Linked DNA regions of Caenorhabditis elegans. The protein of the gene in region 2 purifies or fractionates together with the protein of the main gene of each other region. This does not show direct contact. Each region holds a gene or a part of one and is shown on either strand. Other genes may lie near its edges.

The links.
Region 1: the proteins of tdp-1 (region 2) and ddx-17 fractionate together in Caenorhabditis elegans (co-fractionation; one large-scale study listed by BioGRID). This does not show direct contact.

The regions. Positions count from the first base shown.
Region 1 is NC_003283.11:14,008,170-14,013,808, forward strand, and holds ddx-17 (RNA helicase), read right to left. Parts: upstream 3,773-5,639; 5' UTR 3,648-3,772; coding exon 3,631-3,647; intron 3,581-3,630; coding exon 2,683-3,580; intron 2,637-2,682; coding exon 2,291-2,636; intron 2,246-2,290; coding exon 2,186-2,245; intron 2,033-2,185; exon of another isoform or gene 1,727-2,032; intron 1,440-1,726; coding exon 1,342-1,439; intron 1,297-1,341; coding exon 1,082-1,296; intron 983-1,081; coding exon 931-982; 3' UTR 602-930; downstream 1-601. Other genes in the region: aip-1 (AN1-type domain-containing protein), read left to right, coding at 4,410-4,467, 4,519-4,613, 4,661-4,735, 4,793-5,013, 5,061-5,118, 5,170-5,271.
Region 2 is NC_003280.10:8,995,839-9,000,362, forward strand, and holds tdp-1 (Tar DNA-binding protein homolog 1), read left to right. Parts: upstream 1-1,986; 5' UTR 1,987-1,995; coding exon 1,996-2,091; intron 2,092-2,145; coding exon 2,146-2,339; intron 2,340-2,389; coding exon 2,390-2,469; intron 2,470-2,572; exon of another isoform or gene 2,573-2,582; coding exon 2,583-2,821; intron 2,822-2,910; coding exon 2,911-3,051; intron 3,052-3,094; coding exon 3,095-3,312; intron 3,313-3,416; coding exon 3,417-3,693; 3' UTR 3,694-3,884; downstream 3,885-4,524. Other genes in the region: Brix domain-containing protein F44G4.1, read left to right, coding at 35-164, 214-255; ndub-2 (putative NADH dehydrogenase [ubiquinone] 1 beta subcomplex subunit 2, mitochondrial), read left to right, coding at 535-626, 671-1,061; F44G4.3 (uncharacterized protein), read right to left, coding at 1,230-1,298, 1,348-1,447, 1,498-1,593, 1,640-1,704; F44G4.5 (uncharacterized protein), read right to left, coding at 3,943-4,404, 4,458-4,524. UniProt on the Caenorhabditis elegans protein: RNA-binding protein which regulates transcription, splicing and RNA-editing. Limits the accumulation of double-stranded RNA by maintaining the abundance of the mature RNA transcripts that are formed from double-stranded precursor RNAs.

The DNA.
Region 1 (5,639 bases), on a different chromosome or scaffold from region 2:
TTTATGGAAAAGTGGCTCTAGGGCCATTATATTTTTAAAATTACAGAAATATTTTGAAATAAATTCTCTAAATACTTTTAGCTTTATATTAATGAAAAACTTAGTTTATAAACATATAATATACAAGCTCTACTGCAAAAAGAGTTGTTTGCTCACCATGTTCGAGAACAAAAAGCTTCCACTTCCGGTACACATCTGTCAATTGCCATTGGGTCTCGAAACGATCATGTCAGTTTTTTGTTCAAGTTTGCAAGGAAAAAAATGCGATTGGCCTAAAAACTGACGCAATCGTCTCTACAAAAGATCAATTGTCTGTGGCGCCCCGCCAACGAGAAAACTGTACTTCAATGCCGCCCATCTATCTCTCACTTTTCACATATCGATTGCAATAGAATAGACTGAATTAATAGAAAAGAAGGTCTCGAGAAGAAGAATTTCAATGCCTACAAGAACTGACGAACACAGAACCTGAAGAGCCTGTGTCGTTTTAAGGATACAAAAATGAAAAACAAGAAATCCGCGTGCCAACAATAGGAAAAGACAAAGAGCAAACAGGAAAAGTGGGGGACAACAGCCAAAACACAAAAATATATTTCAATTTTTTCCATCAACATCAATATTTATTTTCTTCAAAAGATCTTATATTAAAGAAACAATCTTTGAAACAAAACTGTTTCCATTGCAGCCGAGTTACACAAAACGCAATGATAAAACTAGATGGATATTATTAAAAGTTTGGAGGGAGATGACAGTTACTGATTAAAACAAAAATAAAATATGGGCACAACGCTCAAAAAAACAAAGAGTAAGAAAGTAAAAAGTAAAAAAGAATAAAAATGAGGAGAAGTTCAGAGTTCCATTAAAACCGAACGAACGAGATCTGAATTATCGTTTAAATGTCGGAAGTGAGTGAGAAGATATGTAGATCGTCTACCATCGGCCACCTCCACCGCTGCCTCCACCGTATCCTCCGTTGTCATATCTGAAAATTACAGGATTTAATTTTATTCGAAATTAGGTGCGATTTCAAAAATCCGTTATCATATTCCACTTTTTTATTTCTAATCACAAAAACACGTACCGTGGCCTCTTTGGAGCAAAGTTATCGTTTCCTCCGTATCCTCTCTTCTGGAAACCACCACCTCCATAGCGACCCCTTGAGTTGCTACCTCCGTAACTGCGGTTTGCCATATCACGAAGAGCTTGTGGAACAGTCTGCTTAGCCTCATCGAGAACCTTCAACAGATCCTTTGCCTTGGAAGCGTTTGTATGAGTGAAGAAAGTGTAGGCGGTTCCCTGAAAAACAAATCATGAAATATTGAATTTTCTCTACTAATTTACCTTTTTGTCACTACGACCAGTACGACCGATTCTGTGAACATAGTCTTCAGAGTTGTTTGGATAATCATAGTTGATCACGAATTTGATATCATCGACATCTAAAATTGTTAAATTAAAATTACTGTAAAACAAATTAGAGCAAAAAGCGTGAACGACGCTTTCTCTCAACCAGGTGAACCAAGAAGAATAAACACGAGTGAACCGAAACAGTGAATTGCCATTTAAACTCCTCTCTCCGGATAAGCCGGGAAATAAATCCATTCCAATAATTTTTTAATTATTAACAGGTTCCAGATGCGTATAAAACCTAGTTCACCAGGTTGAGAGCAATCACCACAGGGAGACCGCCGATACAACTCTGACTAAGCTATACGTACTTACGCACCTGAACCCAGAATTCTAAAGATGGGAATGGGGAAGAGGAGAAAAATTCGACGGAGTCACTGATGAGTCATCGGAACAGCCTGCACAAGCCACAACAGCACTCAATGTATATGACTGCAATACTGGCGGCTTGCGAAACTGAACCGCTTTCTTCGACTCGATGTGTAGATTTCATTCACAGAGCACCAGAAGGTACTCTCTGCCACTACACATCTGCAACGTATGATATGATAACGTCACAAGACGCTGCCAAAATCAACTGCATTGCATTTCGATCAATCCTCTCGGCCAAATCAAGTTGGTGTAACTGTAAAGGGTCAAATAAATCACAAATATGGCTGAATACCATGCTATTGTAACGATTGTCAAGAAAACTGGAAGCCAGAAACTCCTGAAACCGACTTTTCTAATATGTGACATCTAAAATTTGACCCTTTCTAGGTTGGCGCGACAAACTAACCCAATCCACGCGCGGCAACATCGGTGGCCAACATGATTGGTGTTTTTCCTGCTTTGAATTCTGAAAAATGTATTTATAACAAAATAATTGGTAACTTTAACTAACCTTGAAGAACCCAGTCTCTTTCTCCTTGGTTTTTGTCACCGTGAATACAGAGAGTTGGCCATCCATCGCGACGCATAGCACGAGTCAATTCATCGGCTTTCCGCTTTGTCTCAACAAAAATAATGGTTTTGCATTCCTTTTGATTCATGATATGATTGAGGAGCTCCATGAGTTTGGCTTGCTTTGCATGTTCTTCGAGAATATCGACGACTTGTGTGATGTTGTGATTGGCAGCGAGCTCAAGGGATCCGACGTTGAGGAAAGCAGCGTCTTTCTGGAAATCTGAAGCCAACGCACGAACTTCCTTTGGCCATGTGGCGGAGAACATGAGTGTTTGTCTGTCTGGCTGAAAAAATATATATTAAAACACAATTACAACAGATTCAACTTACGCGAATCTGTCCGATGATTTTCTTGATTTGTGGTTCGAAACCCATATCAAGCATACGATCGGCTTCATCAAGAACCAAGTAAGAGCACTTCTTCATGTTGGTAGTTCCGTTATCAAGGAAATCGAGAAGACGTCCCGGAGTGGCAACAACGATATCAACTCCACGCTCGAGATCACGAGCTTGTGGTCCTTTGGATGCTCCTCCGAAGAGACAGGTCATCTTGAGTCCTAACGAGTGGCAGAAATCGATTGATACTTCTTGAACTTGTTGAGCCAATTCACGAGTTGGAAGCAAAACAAGAACGGCTGGTCCTTCTCCGCGTTGACGGTGAGCCTGTTTTGTGATGTGGACGAGAGCTGGGAGCATGAAGGCAAGTGTTTTTCCGGAACCAGTTTTGGCGATAGAGATAATATCACGTCCGCTCATGGCAATCGGCCAGGAGATTGACTGAATAACTGTTGGTTTCTGGAACTTTCCGTACAAAAGCTCGTGAATCTGTCCTGGCAATGGTGCCTCGTTGAATTCGAAAACCGGGCGTGGGACACCACGGCCTTCGAGAGTAACTTGATTTGCTGATACCCATTGATCAATCTCATACTGCTCACGGCGGGATACGGCTGCATTCTCGTGATAGAAATCCTTCTCAATCGGAGTAAGGTTCTCGGCAGACCAGTCGACATCGCGAAGGCGTCCTCCAGCTGAACCATTGGATCCTCCACGACCTCCTCCACGGCCACCGCCGCCATAACCACCTCCTCCGTAGCCTCCACCGCCACCTCCTCCATATCCACCACCACGACCACCGCTGTATCCTCCGCCGCCGCCACCACGGCCTCCACCTCCATATCCTCCGCGGGATCCACCACCGCTGCTTCCTCCATAGCTTCTAGAACCTCCGCTGAAAAAGAAAAACAATTATGCACGTCAATAATCGATAAGTCAACTTACTATCCTCTGTCTCCCATTGTCTTTTTTATATGAGTTTGAAATGCGAACTTCTGGTCGTGCAACGGCTGCTGCGAAAATAAATATCGACTTCGATTAGTAGACCTCTCGTTTGGCTCGTCTTCCTTTGATACAGAAGCACGCGCTGACGAATTACAAGTTTTAAATTGATTCGCAGCGCTGAGAAAACGAGTAGCAAACGAGAACGGACGGATTGAAGAGACCCAAATTTTCGACGAAATTCGGTTGTTTTACCCTATAAAACACAAGTGGGGCCAAAATAACCAAGTGAGTATTTTGCGTCACACCGTGCAAGAAGGGGGAAAAATAATGGGAAAAACAACTTTTAAATCGTTCGAAAAATCGAATTTAGAAAGAAAAAACAGAAAAAGATGAAAGGTTTTGGGACAAATGCGAGAGACGAAAATCAAAAAAAGCGGGAGAAGGAGGTGCAAAGCGGTTTCGCTGTGAGACCCACCGCACGTTTAATGTCATGCGCCTTTAATCCAGCTGTACGCAGTGACGTCACGAAATACTGAAAGCGTCACGTTTTCTAGCGAATCAGCTGATATTGATTTCAAAAATCTTGAAATTGAATTATTCAATTTTTTCTCGTTCTAAAAAGTCCAAAAGCTTTCAATAATATATAAAAATCAATAATTTCGTAACCCGATGTCTGGCATTTCTGGTAAATTCTAGAATTTTTCCAATTGTCATCATTTCTTGTGTTTAAAAGTCTATATTCTCTCGTTTCCTATCAATATCGTTTGCTTTATTCAGCTATGGCGGAGTTCCCAAATCTCGGAAAGCACTGTGAGAGCACAGTTTGCAACAGACTTGGTAAGTCAACATTTAAAAAAAATTAATTAAATAAAAAAATAATTATTTCAGATTTTCTTCCAATCAAATGCTCCGGTTGTGGACATTTCTACTGCTCAGAGCACTTCACATTTGAGGCTCATAATTGTCCGACTGGCTCAAGAATTGTAAGTGTTTGAAAATCTTTTTTTAGATTAAAATTATTAAATTTCAGTCCGTTCAAGTTCCTATTTGTCCTATATGTGAGAAGCCAGTTCCAACGCCGAAAGATGTCAATGTTGATCAACAAGTAATTATTTTGAAATTATTCCTGCAAAAATATTGATAAAAATTGTTTCTTTTTCAGGTCAATGAGCACATTCAGAACAATTGTCAGACTCCGAAACGTGCAAAAGTATATTCAAACGCGTGTACCGTCCCAAAATGCAAGAAGAAAGAGCTGGTAGCCATGAATTGCTCAAAATGTCGAAACAACTACTGCCTTTCTCACAGACACGAGCGGGATCACAGTTGTGAGCGAAAAGTTGGCGAAATGAAGATAAATCAGAAAAAGAGCTGGACGGATTCGTAAGTTTATTGTTTTGAATAAATCGAATTTCAAGGTATTTTTCCAGAATCACATCAATCGCGCGTTCCCGAATGAATCCATGTTCCGCACAAGCAAGAACAGAGGTTTGTATCTATTTTCAAAAAAACAACTAACTAAATCACAAATGTTTCCAGGGAGATGAAGCTCTGGCTCGTTCTCTACAACAAGAAGAATACAATCGAGTTGCACCGCCGCATCAAACAAGAAATTCCAATTCCAACTGCACCGTCTCATAGCATCCAATTTAGTGTATATTTATTTCCCTTCTCATATTTTCTGTACAATTTGCATTTCTCTTCAACCTTGTTCTAGTTCATATCCGTGTCAAAACTTTTATTCATTTCACTTCGCCAACTTCAGTCCTACTAAAATATTGATTCTTTGTACAATGTTGAATACTTTTTCTTTTTTCTTGATATATGAAATTGTTCACCTGCTTTGAACTGTTGTTAATGGGTGTTCTGGGGTTCACAAAGTAAAATAAGAGTTTTGCAAACTTTTGACTGAAACGAAATTTGGACTTTTCAAACATTTTTTACCTAATTTTGAGAAATGCATCTTTTGGCTCAAAGGTGAGACTCACTGTGTAGGTCTCGACGCGAAC
Region 2 (4,524 bases):
ATGTTTATTTCAATCGAATATCTAAAAATTTCAGATACGAATTCAAAAAGGAAGGTTCAAAAGCAGCGCTTCTGGAGTTGGGTCCTCGATTCACATTAAGACTTAAGTGGCTACAGAAGGGTACTTTCGACGCAAAGTGGGGAGAATTCGAATGGGTCCTCAAGGTATGGATTTATTTAAAATTAATTGAATGAAAATTATTAAAAATTTCAGAGACACGAAATGGAAACCAGTCGTCGTCGTTTCTTCCTCTGATTACTATTATTCGTTTTTCAAAGGTTGCAAAAAAATTCGAAGCCCCAATTTTATCCTTACTAAGGTTTTTGAAGTTTTGAACAAATATCTCAATCTCTCCCATGCAACCCTATCATCTTTGTTACTGCTTTTATTTTGTTGTTTTGTTGATGTTATTGAATAATATAATTTGATGCAATTTTTTTAAACTGTTACCTCTAAGGTTTCTGACCGATAATTATCTATTCTGATGATATTTTATTATTATATATATTCGCAGAATTTATTCAGGTTCTGACCATGTTGGGGAACAAATTCGTTGCTCAGTTGGCTCTGCAGCACCTCCGCAATCGAGGACTCGTCAATTCCCCATCTCGTCTGACTTTTGTTCGGTAAATTTTCTTTCCGAATAGTATAGATTTATTTTTTATTCTAGAAATCGATTTGCTTGGGGATCTGATGCTGTTGGTCCAAATGTTCCAGTTGGAGGAAAGATGGGAGCTTCGGAGAATCCAGAATTGCACACCTATGATGGAGACTACCGCGGTACCATCTCGAAGGGGGATAAGCCAATTCCAGATTACTTCTACCGTACTCCAACAACTGGTCGAACCTACATCGATCGTTGTGTAACCTATTTCATCTCAGCTGTCATTTGGGCGTGGTTCTCGTACCACATGTACTATCATTCTGGCCATCTCTTGGGACATTGGTACATGCCATACTTGAGCGAGTTCACGGATGAAGAGCTCGGAATTCCAAAGGATTCTGCCGAAGATCCAGAATACTGGGGCAACCACAAGAAAGAATATGGAACTTATCGATAAATAGTTGACAGAATGTTTTTAGTTCATTCATAGTCTCATTCTTCTTGAAACGACTTGACTTTTATTTTTAACCGTTTCCTGTATGCCTGATTGTAATTCAATAAAGTGGCTTCGAATACGAACATTTTAAAAATATAATTATTTATTTCTAATCTATAACCAAATAACCTAAACTATTCCAAGGTCCGGCACATTGTCTCGTGGACGATAAACTCGCTCTTCTTGGTAGGAAAGAACCTGAAAAAAGACGAATGAAAAACTATTTCGAGCGGAAATTTAGTCTTACAACTTGTTTTTTCGCTTGAAGAGTAGGATCTAGCCTTCCTTCTTGTTCTTGTATCTTCCACATAAACCGATTTACTGGATGTTTGTCGCCTTTCCACCACCTGAAATAAGTATTTCAGTTAAAAATGAATCAATTACAATGTTTTATTACCGGACTCCAACATTGTACATTACTATGTAGAGAAGCGTTGAAGCTACAATTGCAGGACCAGTTCTTTTCATAGGATATGACAGAATTTTGTGGAATCTGAAAGTTAATAATTTTAATTTTAACGCTGGTGAACAACACTTACTTTATTTTCCAATTGGCTTTCCCTGTCGGTTTTGAACTCATCACCACATTTTTGTCACCTTCCATGTTTGAATAATAGTCAATTGTCAAGTTTCAGAGAATAAAATGATCATTAATGGGCAAAAGAAGGTTTTTTTTGTAATTCAGAGACGCCTAGTTTCTGAGAGGTACGGTGTGAAAATGTGTGCATATGTGCGTCATGGTGTTTGCACACCATTTGTGTAATTAATTTACAAGATTTTTGCTCGGAGATTTTTGGCTCAATTTATTGGTTTTATTGATTAAAAATAGATACAAATAATTCATTATTTTAGTAAATTTGTTATTATTTCAAATATATCTGTTTCCAGTCACTAAATGGCCGACGAAACGCCGAAGGTTAAAACAGAACCTGCGGCCGAGGTTAAATCACCCTTGGATGAAGTTAAGGAAATTCGAAAAGAGGCAGAACTGGTAAGTTAATAATAATTCGTACAGTTGCTAATATCCCATGTTCATGTTTTCCAGACACAAACTGGGAGTGACGAAAAGAAAACCACGGACCCGGAATTCATCACAGTACAAGATCCAAATGGAGATGAGCCAATAGAACTTCCTACCGTTGATGGTGTTGTCTTGATGACTACATTGCAAGCATCGTTTCCGGGTGCTACTGGTTTGAAGTACAAAAATCCAAAAACTGGAGCCAACCGAGCTGTTCAGTGAGTGCTTGGTGGAGGTATACTGACTTAAAATTTATTTTATTTTCCAGAGTCGATCCCAGTGGTTTGAAATTAATTGCTCCAGCTGACGGCTGGGAAAATAAAACGTTCTTCGTTATTGTTGCCCCGCGTAAGTTGTTTTTGTTTTATATTAACTAGTTTCACCAAAATTCAAGCTTTTGAGTAGAGACGGTTTATGTGACAGTCTGAGTGAAGACGTTCGAGTGACGTAGTGTGATTCAGAGAGCGAGAGAGTCAGAGCGTTGTCATCAGCTGACGCGACGAGTGCGAAGAGACGTAAAGTGGGATCGAGTGACGACTCGGATTCGGATGACGGTCGTGACGGACGTTCGGGCAGGAAGAGAGCGGTTGAGAGAGACAGCCAGCCAGTTGACCTCATCGTGCTCGGTGTGGACTTCAAAACGACTGACGAGTGCTTTCAGAAATACTTCGAAGATATAGGAACTGTTGTGTTCTGTGAGGTTCGTGAGATGAGTGAAGGAATCTGAAAGTGAGAGAATTAAGTTCACATAGGTTCCATTAAAAATACATATTCAATATTCTTCTTCAGATAAAACGAAAGTCGGATGGAAACTCAAAAGGATTTGGATTTGTCAGAATGTCATCAGTCGGTGAACAAAATAAAGTATTAGCTATCCCACAGCACATGATTGATGGTCGTCGTTGTGATGTGAAAGTTCCAGATGGAAGGGTATGTTATTATACTGATCAATTAAAACTAATAAGTTGAGCAGAGTTTGCAGGACAAACAAGGTCGTCCATCAATCAGTCGAATTTTTGTCGGAAGGCTCACAGACAAAGTAGACGAACATCAACTGCGAAAAGTGTTTGGAGATGAAGCAAAAAGCTATATAGAGACTGCAGTAGTTACCGATGTGTTCATCCCAAAACCATTCAGAGGCTTTGCATTCGTTACGCTGTCGAGCGCCGAAGCCGCGGAAAGAATTGTCAGGTATTGCTAATTTTTTGGAAAACCTGTTAAAAATAACTGTCTCCGGTGTAGCATCACTTTTAAGCACTCATATTTTTCATTCTAGTAAGAAATATAATTTTCAGCAAAGGATCGCTAACTGTCAACGGTTTATCAGTTGGATTGAGCATCGCACAGCCTCGAGAAGAGAATAATCAATCAGTTGGCCCTGATTATGGCCTTCCAGCTGGCTACCGTAACCGCAGAGAACGTGATCGACCGGATAGACGACCGATTCAAAATGAAGCACCTCTGCCCATGCCATTCGTCCGCCCACCACAAGATTACTCATACCGTCAGCAAAATTCTCCCCTCGAGAGGAGATACTGGGCACCTGGAGACTCGAGAGGACCAGGATGGTGATTCTCTCGAAAAATCGTTATTATTCATATTTTTCTACACTTTTCTCAATTTTCTTGTCTGACAATTTGTCATTAGTATTGTTCTCTCACATTTACTAGACCCCTACAATTTTCATGTCGACGCACTTTGCGATTTTATGCTGTATTTTTAATAATGCAATTCTACAATCTCTGAATAAAAAACCTGAAATTAAATCGACTAAAAAACTAGTTCATTCTCAAGAATTGGTAAGACAAGAGGCACAAAAAGTTAGTAAGTTTCCGAGTATTCATTGCACAACATCTCAGAAACGTACTCCGAATTCACAAAGTATGGCGTCGTGTTCACAGAATTCTGGGCAACCTCGGAACTCGTGTTCACATATTTCGGCAGAAATGAAGCTTCAACTTTTTTAACGGCAATATGTTGAGGAACATCGAAAACGAAAATCTCGGACAAAGCATCAAGTTGGTACTGTGATGGGACACGAGCCAAACGAACAGTATTCTCTGCTGGCTTATAATTCAAATCAGCCAATTCATAATAACTTTGTGGACCATCACAATTGACACGTGTAGTTTCTGGATAAGCAATGGTGGATTGTTCAGTGATCCATTGACTTTGAACACTTTCAGTTTCTCTCAAACAATCCTCCCAACCATTATCCGATTCGGCACCCGTGATGACGTCATCAAAGCTCGACTTTTCATTCTTCTCAATTTCCAGAAGCATCTAAATTAAAATAATTCTGTAATTGAAAAGGATAAAAATATAAATCAACTTACCAAATTTCGTTGAATATTATCCATTGAAGTTGAAAGTTGGCTGCATGATCTCGAATCCGTTGATTTT